Linked DNA regions of Coturnix japonica. The protein of the gene in region 2 interacts with the protein of the main gene of each other region in a biochemical or structural test. Links are inferred from orthologs where the notes say so. Each region holds a gene or a part of one and is shown on either strand. Other genes may lie near its edges.

Region 1 (4,016 bases), on a different chromosome or scaffold from region 2:
TAAGCCGAGACCAAATGAAAGGGAAAAGCTGGCACAACCAAAGTGCAGCACTTCTGCTGGAAACATGGGACAGATTTGGGTGCACACGGGCTCAGCGCCTCCGTTTCCATTTCACTTCCCCACCCCTGCTGCTCTGCGTGATGCAGACCTGCCTTATCCACACCTCCTGCTTTTAACCCTGCGCTGCTCCTATTGATTCCTGACAGAGTAACAACCCACTACTCGGTTCCCTCTTTGCTTTTCTGTAAGCTACAAGAGACCAAACACTGCACGTTCTGTGCACCTACAGCTTCAACTGAGTATTTCCCAAGTAACCCATTTTAGATTTAAAACATACAAGATACCTTCAAGAGCATGCAGCAAGGAAATGGTAAAGGCAGAAGCAGCAGGTTTCCTTAAGTCTTGCAAGCATAAGCTCCTAGTGAGATGTTAATTTTAGGTTTTAATACTATTAAACATTCTAAATTTAGATTCTAACAAATATATCCTCCAGAAGGAAAAGTAAGAATCAGCAATCTGGTAAACAAAATGTCACCACCAGAAAGGCACCGACTGCCACACATCTCCATCACAACCAGAAACACACAGAGGGAAGAGGAAAGAAAGAAGGAAGAAAACTGAGAGCAGAGCAAATTCTGTAAGGCTGCAGCTTGGCAACCTGCTGGGAAGCACCAGGGAGGAGCTGGGCAGTCTGGTGGTGAGGCTGGGCAAGAGCACCCACTAAATACACGACACCAGCCGTGAAGACAACACAGGGCCGTGCAGGTGACCAGGAGAACTGGAAGCTCTGCTTTACTTCAGGAATTCAGGTCTGTAGGAGCACTGTGCCCTCAGTCACAGCGTGTTGCTTTTGCCTTTCACAACGCTCTATCCGACTACTGTTGGGAAAGTATAAAGGAGAATAGTAAACAAGATGTTATCTCGGGTCATGTCAAATGCTGCATCAGGACACGATGCAAGGAAGATCCACGCAATGTCTGCCTGTAGCATTAAGTAACATCCTTTTCAATGTTATTTAGTTAATATCAGTTTTCTCTTAGCAATTCATTTGCCTATAGCATTTTAGTAAGATCATGGAGCTTCCCAACCATAACGTAGCAGAACTATTTGAGGGACAGAGGGGACTTACACAGGAGAGCAGACAGGAGCAGAGACAAGTCCTGCTACGGCTGGTTTTCAGGTCAGTGCTTTGGGATGACAACAGAGAAAAGCACAGTGACAAGGACACTACATCAGCAGGTCAGATGGTGAATGGTGAATCAGATGGGTTAGAGCTCATGCCCTGCAGGATGCCCCAAGATCGAGCATAGGGTTTTGTCTGAAAACACGTACCCAGAAATACTCTGTCTGGTACAGGCTGAAGCCATCCACCAAAGCAAAGTGAGAACCCGCTCCACATCCCTGCAGAGCAATGAGCATGGAGCAGCCAGTCATCTCCAGCCAGACTCCCGGCTCCCTCTGGCGGGGTGTGAGCAGCAGCGGCTCCCCCGGCCTTGCTGTCTGCAAACCACAGCTCATCCAGCTTTTACACAAAGAGTTTACTCCCTTCGAAAGGGCTGACAATAGCAGGACACGGGGAAATGGTTTTAAGTTAAAAGAGGGAAGATTTAGGTTGGATGTTAGGGGGAAGTTCTTTACTAGGAGAGTGGTTAGGCCCTGGAACAGGTTGCCCAGGGAGGTTGTGGATGCCCCATCCTTGGAGGTGTTCAAGACCAGGTTGGACGGGGCCCTGGGCAACCTGATCTAGTAAAGGTGTATGTTTGGTGGCCCCCTGCCAGGCAGGGGGTTGGAACTACATGATCCTTGAGCTCCCTTCCAACCCGGGACATTCTGTGATTCTGTGAGGCCATTCCTCATTAAGTTGCATTTAAATGCTCCCATCTTTTTGAGTCGTTTTGGGTTTTGTGTTCAGATGTCAGTAAGTTGTGCCCACTGCCATGGAGCTGTGCATGGAGCTGTGCATGGAGCTGTACACGGAGCTGTACACGGAGCTGTACATGGAGCTGTGCATGGAGCTGTACATGGAGCTGCTGCATGGAGCTGTACATGGAGCTTGTACATGGAGCTGTACATGGAGCTGTGCATGGGAGCTGTACCATGCGAGCTGTGCATGAGCGTGCACGGAGCTGTGGCACGGAAGCTGTGCAACGGAGCTGTACATGGAGCTGTGTACGGAGGTGTGCATGGAGCTGTACATGGAGCTGTGCATGGAGCTGTGCATGGAGCTGTACATGGAGCTGTGCATGGAGCTGTACACGGAGCTGTGCATGGAGCTGTGCATGGAGCTGTACATGGAGCTGTACATGGAGCTGTACATGGAGCTGTACACGGAGCTGTGCACGGAGCTGTACATGGAGCTGTACATGGAGCTGTACACGGAGCTGTGCATGGAGCTGTGCATGGAGCTGTACACGGAGCTGTGCATGGAGCTGTACATGGAGCTGTACACGGAGCTGTGTCACACCCTGTCGGTGCCCCCTCCCCAGCACAGCTCCATGCCGTTCCCTCGGGCCCTGTCGCTGTCACACCGAGCTGAGCTCAGCGCTGCCCATCTGCTCCCTATGAGCTGCAGCTGCCACGAGGCCTCCGCTCAGCTCCTGTGCTCTGGGCCGAGCCCCCCCACCCCCACCCCAAACACGCTCAGCCCCACACCCAGCCGTCCCCATAGTCCCCAGCCCCGCCCCGCTACTCACGTTTATACTCGGCCATCAGCCTCTTTAACGCCGTACCCGCCATAGCGCGGCCCGCAGCGCCCCGGCCCCGCGCCGCTTCCGGGCGGGCTGGAGGGGAGGAAGTAGATAGGGGGCGCGCTAGCACTCCGCCTCTATGGTAAAGGGGGGGGGGGGGGGGCTGAGTCCTCCCAGCGCATGCGCAGTAGCACCAGCGAGTTGTGGGCGGGCCCTCTCAGCCCAGCTGCTCTGCTCACCCCACCCCCCCCCTTCCATTCAGGACACTTCTCGTTTGTGCATTAAAAAAGTATATTTCAGACAACTTTATCAAATCATGACAAAGCACATGTCAATCTGCAATCTTCCAAACTGTCTATACGGAGCATTGCGTCTCGCACGTACAGACCTCGTGTCGTGGGCTTCACGTTTCCCAGCGACTTCAATCAGCGTCTTCTTCCTCCTCTTTTAAAACAATGAGACTCATTAAGCTTGAGATCGGCATGAAAATAGACTTATTTACAAGGGTAGGATGGAACAGAGGGGCAGGGCTGACAGCCAGGAATGCACTCCATGTCCTCAAACACGGACAGGGTTATTTAGGCCACAGGTTTGAAAGGGAATAAACCAGGAAACAGCAGACAGACAGACAACGTGTAGCACTGAATCGGAACTCAAAAATCAACTGGGCCCAATTAAAGATAAGAGATGAATCCCTGCAGATACTGTGTCGACTTGCACACGCAGTACGTCAAAGACAACAAGCGATTTTGGGTAAATGTCCTCTAAGGTTTCCGAGAATCCCGTGTGATCGGCGTGTTCATTTGTTCACTATTTGATAGCAAATCCAAGGACAGATGAGAGCGAGGTGCGATGAGGAGCCTCTGTGCTCCAAAGGATGCCATGTCTTAGCACAGCCCGCCCGTCTGCTGCTGGAACACATCGATAGTGTCTTCGTCTTCCATCTCCAGCTGTGAGGGTGATACGGAGAACACGAGTTCACAACCATAAACTTATAATAGAGTTACACAGGTTTTGAGATCTCTATTTCAAAGCAGACTCAGAACCCAGCCATCTAAAAGCAACCAACTCAGATGTGTTTCTTCTGTTCCTCACCTCAGGCCTCGTCAATGCAAGAAAACCCTTAAATTCTGAGCGCTGACTGAGCTGGCAGCAGCTACAGCACCCAGCTTTAGTCCTGGCTGTATCCAGACATGGGACAGAGCTGAAGAGCTCAGCACTCCCTCCAGGTCCTGCCCACAGCAGCACACAGGTGCCAGTGTGTTTGGCACCATCTGTTCATGCACATCTCCCACCCCAGCCAGCATAAAACACATATGGAAGAGACTG
Region 2 (3,526 bases):
GGCTGGACTAGCTGATTTTTAATGGTCCCTTCCAACTCAAATGATTCCATTTAAAATAAATAAATAAATAAATTTCAAAAACCTCTCTGCCTCTTCATGTGACAGAGGTCTTCTGACTGACTTGGAAATAAATAGCTGTCAAGGGCTGTTGGAGATGGAGAATGCTGTCGCAGTCTTCAGATTGAATTACTTATGCATGGGAATGTGTACTTAAATTTCAATGTGAAAATCCCTATTTATAAAATGAATTATTGATTGGCTTTGGTTTATGGTGCCCTGATCTAACTTGAAGTGACTCTTCTTATTTAACCTGTTCTTTTCTTGAGTTTAAGCTTTCCACTGTTCTGAAAGGTCCTTGTGTCCATTTGGGTTGTGCTCTGGTGATGTCTGCAAAGCAGATGTAGAGATAACTCTGTATTCTCATTATCTGTGTCTTTCCATATCAGTCGTTGTGTAGCAAACTTGCGTCCTCTGTTAGACTCTGGAACCATGGGAACAAAAGGACATACAGAAGTTGTTGTGCCTCATCTCACAGAGTCGTATAATAGTCACGTAAGTAGTTCATGGCTATCAACTTCTGCAGCTAGTCCCCTAAAGCTCCCTTCAAAGTAAGAATGCAAGCTGATTTTGTGTTTGTGGTTTTCTTTCTTTGAGCTATTTTCTGCCTGTTTGTTCTGTTTTTGGTGATTACCATCTCCAAAGGCAGGCAGGAGAAACGCGAGTCTCAGTAGCAGGCATTAGTCTGCATGTTTGTACAAAGATACGTATCAGCTCTTTGTAAATGGAGGAAGTTAACCTCAAACTCTTGCAGTTTTCCACGACTTGGGTTCCTATGAAGGTTGTGCCATTTGCCATGTAGTGCTGATGTTGACAATCGTTACAGCTTTACTATAGTTGATGGAAAAATGTTTCTGGCTTTGCGAGATAGGGTGGTTTTTACCTTGCAAGTGTGCATAAGTGTGAGCTGCACACCCTGGATAAACTGGCTGGCAATTACTTCTGCTGCTTGTACATTAGGGTTGAGTTTTACTTTCTGTGTTCAGATTCTTCTTTGTAAAACAAAATTTGTTTTATGCTTCTTTGTTTAGGCTTAAAAAAAGCTTCCTTGTATTTTGTAATAGTGGTGTGGGAAAGTTGCGTAGTCTTTAAGTTCTTGGTCCTGTGATTGATAACCAACTTTAAGTCTGCCCTTACATACAATTCCCCTTAAATATAGCGGGATCCACCAGAAGAGGAAATACCTTTTTGCACCTTGAAGTCTTTCCCAGCTGCCATTGAACATACAATACAGTGGGCAAGAGATAAGGTAAGGAAATAAGTTTACATGCTTTTGAAATGACTGTTTATTTGAAAAGGTGAGGTATTTGAGGTACTTAGTGTTCAATGCCCTATTGTTCTTTGTATTTTCTAGTTTGAAAGTTTGTTTTCTCACAAGCCTTCATTGTTCAACAAGTTTTGGCAGACCTATCCATCTGCAGAAGAAGTTTTACAGGTAGGAGAATGTTGCCTGGATATAACAGAGTTTGAACTAATGCTTTAAGGATTTTGTTTCCATTTATGTTAAGTACGGTTTGGTTTGTTTGCTGACATTGTTCAGATTTTCTGAAGGCTTATTTAGCCAAGGCATTTGTTGATGTTTCATGGGATCTTACTGCTGTTAGTAAGAGCTTGTCTTGTGTGTGGCCTGTTTCTCTAGCTCAGGGATTCTGTCTGTGATACAGGAATTAAAACCTGAGGGATTGTTAGCAAGAACAGTCAGTGTCATACAGATGTGCAGACAGCTGGGAAAAAATGAAGATGTACTTCTGAGTGAACTTGACTACCTAATAGATTAAACACTTATCTGCCTTTCTCTATGATGGCTATTGGTCATTCAGGCAAGGTGGAAGTAGAACAAGTAGACAACAGCTCTGTGGAAAACTCGGAGGGAAGGGATCACACGAAGGTTAATGTTCACAAAGCAACCTGCCATGTCCTTTTACCTGCAACTCAATAAGATCTGTTAGACTTTTACGTCTAACCTTTTTAAATATTCATTTATTTCCTTCTGTTTCTAGAGGATAAAATCAGGGGAGAGTTTAGAAGGCTGCTTTCATGTTATTAAAACACTCAGCAGAAGACCCCGAAATTGGACTCAGTGTGTGGAACTAGCAAGAGTAAAGTTTGAGAAGTATTTTAGCCACAAGGTAGGTAGCCAGGCTGTGGAAGTGGGGCACCTGTGGACTGACAGGGATGTGGTATCCCTGAATAAATAGTTTTCCAAGTCTTTGCACTTGTTTCCTTCTCCATTAATAACAAGCTTTGCTTCAAATCTAAATCTGCTGCAAAACTCTTCTTACTGTAGAGTTTTTTTGGAGGAGTTTTTTTCTTTTTAGACTGCTCTGTTAACATCCTAATAGCTCTATAATACCTCTCTTTATCTCCCACTAAACTTTGTGTTACTCAGCTCTTCGTATTTGTATCCTTGATTTTTCTTAAAGCTATCACAGAAAGATTGACTGAAATATGGGCCAGGCATTATTCAAGTGTGATCCACAGTGTTGCTTCAAATGTGTTTGGGGGAGGATGGGAGGAATTCTGTGATAAAGAAGTGTATATTAGTAAACATACCACATCTGTGTTGTGATGACAGTTATTAGGTTTTGAAAATGTTGCTTTCCCAGTTATGAATTTGTATTCCAGAATCCTGTAGGTGTAATAAGGTTGGGGAAACACTCTGCTTATTGTATTTAGTATTCTGCTTGGAGCTGGGACTGGTGAAATCCCATCTACCATCTCACACGTGGTGACAGTGTCATCTTCATCCCATGGATGATTAAATCATTCTGTCTACATGTACTTGTGTCTTTAAGCTCTCTGTCCTGATTCAGGTACCTTAGGTTTTCTTAACTCTTTAAATGACTTGTGGTTAACACTGGAGAGCCTTGAAAGATGTATAAAGATTTCATGTTATTACTAAAAAGGGGTTTTTTGATTCTGTGATGTTGTGTCGGTCTGACAAACTGCTAAAGCCACTCTGTCTTTCTTTCTAGGCTCTTCAACTTCTTCATTCATTTCCTCTTGATACACGATTAAAAGATGGAAGTAAGTACAAATACCTCTGTGTGCCTCCTGTGAATTCACGGCACGTATCATGTGTTGCTGTTCTAGGACTTCATCTTAAGTCTGTCTTCTAACCAGGTTTGTTCTGGCAGTCACCAAAGAGGCCGCCTTTCCCAGTGAAGTTTGATTTTAATGATCCTTTGTAAGTATTACTCTGCATTTTAAAATACCCTGTGAAGCTACCCCATTGTAGAGCCAGTAGCATTATAGCACTGCAAGTTGGACTGATATTTGATGGGTATTAATGTAATGGGTACTTATACAGTGTCAGACTGTGTGAACCATCTTAAACTTTCACTGCCGGTAATTTAACCCTAACTAACATGAAATCAGAGGGGGTGCTATGGGAAGTTCTGACAATATCTGTCTAGCATGAGAAAGGTTAGAACAACACTTTCTGTTTACTGTGTCTTGACTGCAGGGG
Region 3 (4,233 bases), on a different chromosome or scaffold from region 2:
GAACCATGAGGCAATGGATGAGCACAGGATGAAGCAATTACCTCTAACCTAAACCTACGCCCTCCTAAACAGCCACGGTGGTGACGCAGCTCTGCCAACCCCACACAGTGCCCACCACCCCAAAGCCCCCACAGCTGTAACAGCCCACTGAGCACCCCATAGACCCACAGCCACCAACTCACAGGCACTGAGGAGCTCACGGTGCACACCAGGAAGGAGCCCAGCACCGACTGCATGCCATGGAAGAACAGGAAAAGCAGAGTGCCAATGCCTGGGGTGCGCCCAGCCGGCACGTGGGGCAGAGAATGACGTGCAAAGCACAGAGCAGGGTGTCTGCAAGGGCTGTGCTGAGCACCACGGCCCCAACTTCAGGTTTGGGGTGGGTATAAGGAGAAATTCCTCCCTACCCTGGTAGGGTGTGGGGAGGGTGTAGGGACCTGGTGCTGTTATGGGCTGCCCAATGGGATCACCATCCCTGCAGGGGCTCCAGGAAGGTGGGGATGTTGTGCTGAGGAATGTGGAGCTGGTATGATGGGATGGGTTGGGAAACTCACGTGTTTGTGCAGCGATTATTGCTCATATATTGCCCTCTCACGGCCAGAAGAGCAAAACCACCAATTAAACACACATCACTAATTACTATAGAATAACCCTAAGCTGGAAGGGACCCAATAGGGATCACCGAGACGTTATTGCTGATCGTGTTCTCCTTCCTGGGAGCTTTTTAGAGGGCTGATATCCCCCCCCCATCGAATCGCGTTTCTACACCCCATTGGCTGCTCCGAAAGTAATGCCTCCTATTTATTATCGCGGCTATTCCAACAGCTGCAAAGAGCTCTCAGTCACACGCGCTGACAGAGCGACTTCACAGCTACAGAACTGCGTTTCCTTTGGTGCTGTACGCACATGAAGCCATAAAAACGTTGTGTCTGAGGACCTGGGGCTGCTGTCACCCCATGGAACCAATGCACCGCCCCCGGTTACACCGCGTTACTTCCCCGCTCCGGAGCCCTGCTCACCTCCCTCCTCCTCCTCCTCGGGCCCCGCTGTGCCCTGGGGTGACACGAAGAGCGACTCGACTTTAGGCAACGGGGCCGCTTATGCAACACACTGCGGGGGGGGGACACGGGGGGCCGGTAGAGCTGTGCCCGCCCTGCTGAGCTCCCATGGAGGCGGGGGGCGGGGTGGGACAGGGCCCGGCCCCTCTAACCCCTCTAACCCCATCCAACCCCCTCTAACCCCATCCAACCCCCTTTAACTCCATCCAACCCCTCTAACCCCCTCTGACCCCATCCCATCCCATCCCGTTCCGGAGCCCCCCGGTTGTGGGCGGAGTCTCCGTAAGCCACGCCCACATGGCGCGCTTTCCCCGCCACTGGGATGGGGGCGTGGCTTATTTCCCGCCAGCTGATCTCAGCCAATCAGCGCGCGCCGCCCCTTTCGGATTCGAAATGCCGCCGCTGGGTGGGAGGAGCTGAGCGGCGTCCAATCAGCGCTCGTATATTCGCTAGGGGGCGGGGCTAGAGGGCAGCGTCTCCTCCCGTTGCTGGGTGGGCGGCGGGGCTGGGGGGGAGAGAGGACTAAGGGGGGGGGGCCAGCTTGGAAGGGGGGGCAGGGCTTACTGGGGGGGGGGTGCGGTCACTGAGGTAGGCCCTGGTATATATATATATCTATGGGGTTGAAGTCAACAGGCCCCCATTGAAGTGAGTGGGGAGGCATAAGGGCCCTGCCCTATGGGGGGGGGGCCCTGGCCCTATGGGGGGATGCCCTGCCCTATGGGGGGGGGGTCCCATTGATCCCTATGGGGGGGGGGGGCGGTCCCTGCCCCTATGAGGGAGGGGAGGTCCCTGCCCTATGGGGGGAGGTCCTGCCGTATGGGGGTGGATGCCCTGCCCTATGGGGGGGTGGATGCCCTGCCCTATGGGGGGGTGGATGCCCTGCCCTATGGGGGGGTGGATGCCCTGCCAATGGGGGGGTGGATGCCCTGCCCTATGGGGGGGGGGATGCCCTGCCCTATGGGGGGGGGGATGCCCTGCCCTATGGGGGGGCCCTTAAGGCCATGTCCCAACCCAGCCCTTCCTATGGTTCCTTAAGGGCAGCCTCATACCCGCAGCATGCAGAGAGCATCCCGGCTGAGCAGGGAGCTGGCATTGCTGAGCACGGAGCCGCCGCCCGGTATCAGCTGCTGGCAGAATGGAGAGAGAATGGACGAGCTGCGGGCACGTAGGTGTTGGGGTTGGTGGGGGGCTTTGGGGGGGGATGGGGCATTGCATTGGGTTGGTACACGCTGTGCAGTGGGGTTGGATATGGGGGGGGTCCTCTCTAGCTGTAAGGAGTGTTACAGAGTGTTATAGATGGGATGGTTGGCTGAATTCCTATCATTCTGAATGCAGTATTTATGCTTGTGATATTGTTTGTTTGCAAAGAGATCATAGGAGCTCCAGAGACACCCTATGAGAAAGGGATATTCGACCTGGAGGTGGTTGTGCCTGAAAGGTGAGTGAGTAATGATTCTCTCTAATGCCAAGTGAATGCATTGATGTGAGGTCTTTCCTTCAGCCTCCCCCCCCCTGTAATTGTTATCCCTGGCTGAATGGATTCCATGTGTTGGATGTGTGATGATGGGATGTCACTTCGATACCTGCTGTATGGAAGGATTAATGGCATAACTGGGGTATGAATATCATGCTGTGTTTCTTAATGCTGATCTCTTCAAGGTACCCGTTTGAGCCCCCAAAGATTCGCTTTCTGACCCCTATTTATCATCCTAACATCGACTCTGCTGGAAGGATTTGTCTGGATGTTCTTAAGTTACCACCAAAGGTAAGATAGCGCTGCTTGGGCACAGTAAATGAGCCTGAGGAGGATAATGAGCTCCTTATCTTTTTCTTGTAAAAGCCTGATTGAATGTCTCTTTGCTACTGACTTATTTACACAGGAGAGCGGCTGTGGAGTTTTTGTGTGGCCTCTCCTTTGTTTAGGGATTAGAACATGACCTTCTTTGCTCTGTATAAGCTTCCAAGGCTTTAAGGATTGCGGTGGGAAGGCAGCCCTCTGAAAATGGGCCGGCACAGCCTGTGGTTCCATCAGTTCCCTCTGAGAGGCCTCAGCCTGTGTGTTTTCTATGGGGCTCTGAGTGCTCCGAGCTTCCTCCAGGCATCCTAATGGTCTTCCTCTCAGCTGCTTCTCTCCCCCTCTCCTCCTGCAGGGCACATGGAGGCCTTCCCTCAACATCTCCACACTACTGACCTCCATACAGCTGCTGATGGCAGAGCCCAACCCTGATGACCCCCTCATGGCAGACATAGTATGTGGGCTCCTTTAAGGCTTCAGGGGCTGTGGGTGTGGGGTGGAGCGTTGCCTTTGCTCAAGCAAACTCAAGCGAGCAACAGAATGGTGTTGAGTGACATGTGTGTAGCAGTTTGGGTCTGGGATCAGGAATCCTTCTGCCAGGGCTGCAAGAGGAGTTAATAACCCCCCAGTGTTCAGTCTGTTAATACTAAAGTCAAATCTTTCTCTTTTAGTCCTCGGAGTACAAGTACAACAAGCAGCAGTTCTTAATAAATGCCAAAGAGTGGACTGAGAAGTACGCGAGCCAACAGAAGAGGGTAAGAAATGGGCCTTCCTGTTGCAGCTGTGTGAATATTCCTCATCTAATTCCCCTTCCATGGCCACAGAGGGGGAGAAGAGGTGGTGTGGGGCAGCAACAATTGCTCCCTCCATGTAAATGAGGCATTGAATTGCAGTGCTCTCCCAGGAGGTCTGTAGGTTGAGCAGGACTGATAGAACCCCAAGATACTCAACCTTCATTCCGCCTCAGCTCTGTTCCTAAGTGCACATTCTGCTGTGCCTCATGCTCAGACAGGACTTAGCACAGCAGTGCTAATGGCTCCTAAAACTAAATGATTCACAGCTGTTACTTCTTATTTCTTTGGAGGCTTTGGAGGAGAAAACAAACCAGAGTGAAAGCAAAGCCACCAATGGATCTGCCATGCAGAAAAGAAAAGGGAGCTCTATCAGCAAGAAGGAGAAGCAGCCTCGCATGGGCTCCTAAGTGAGTTTAGTTCCTGATGTGGCTGCCAGCTTTGCTTTCATTGTGTCCTCTTTAAGTGGGTATAATCAAATAGTTTAATATGGAATAGCAGCAGGGTTTATTGTTTCTGTTTCCTAGCAGTTGGTTCGTTTGGTTTTTGAGATGTTATAGAAAATAAAGCTTTAATTTGCTTCTCTTTC

The links.
Region 1: the proteins of UBA6 (region 2) and UBE2G2 form a complex in vitro, tested with the Homo sapiens proteins (2 studies listed by BioGRID, with this or other methods). The link is inferred for Coturnix japonica from reciprocal best matches to the Homo sapiens genes UBA6 and UBE2G2.
Region 3: the proteins of UBA6 (region 2) and UBE2T form a complex in vitro, tested with the Homo sapiens proteins (2 studies listed by BioGRID, with this or other methods). The link is inferred for Coturnix japonica from reciprocal best matches to the Homo sapiens genes UBA6 and UBE2T.

What each region holds. Positions count from the first base shown.
Region 1 is NC_029524.1:3,986,475-3,990,490, reverse strand, and holds the start of UBE2G2 (ubiquitin-conjugating enzyme E2 G2), read right to left. Parts: upstream 2,819-4,016; 5' UTR 2,737-2,818; coding exon 2,694-2,736; intron 1-2,693. Other genes in the region: small ubiquitin-related modifier 3, read right to left, coding at 3,575-3,637. UniProt on the Homo sapiens protein: Accepts ubiquitin from the E1 complex and catalyzes its covalent attachment to other proteins. In vitro catalyzes 'Lys-48'-linked polyubiquitination. Involved in endoplasmic reticulum-associated degradation (ERAD).
Region 2 is NC_029519.1:46,073,962-46,077,487, reverse strand, and holds part of UBA6 (ubiquitin-like modifier-activating enzyme 6), read left to right. Parts: intron 1-446; coding exon 447-552; intron 553-1,216; coding exon 1,217-1,306; intron 1,307-1,411; coding exon 1,412-1,492; intron 1,493-2,057; coding exon 2,058-2,186; intron 2,187-3,032; coding exon 3,033-3,084; intron 3,085-3,180; coding exon 3,181-3,244; intron 3,245-3,526. UniProt on the Homo sapiens protein: Activates ubiquitin by first adenylating its C-terminal glycine residue with ATP, and thereafter linking this residue to the side chain of a cysteine residue in E1, yielding a ubiquitin-E1 thioester and free AMP.
Region 3 is NC_029541.1:1,472,069-1,476,301, forward strand, and holds UBE2T (ubiquitin-conjugating enzyme E2 T), read left to right. Parts: upstream 1-1,430; 5' UTR 1,431-1,550; intron 1,551-1,671; exon of another isoform or gene 1,672-1,703; intron 1,704-2,094; 5' UTR 2,095-2,114; coding exon 2,115-2,223; intron 2,224-2,426; coding exon 2,427-2,496; intron 2,497-2,717; coding exon 2,718-2,823; intron 2,824-3,208; coding exon 3,209-3,307; intron 3,308-3,500; exon of another isoform or gene 3,501-3,524; coding exon 3,525-3,608; exon of another isoform or gene 3,609-3,937; coding exon 3,938-4,054; 3' UTR 4,055-4,227; downstream 4,228-4,233. UniProt on the Homo sapiens protein: Accepts ubiquitin from the E1 complex and catalyzes its covalent attachment to other proteins. Catalyzes monoubiquitination. Involved in mitomycin-C (MMC)-induced DNA repair.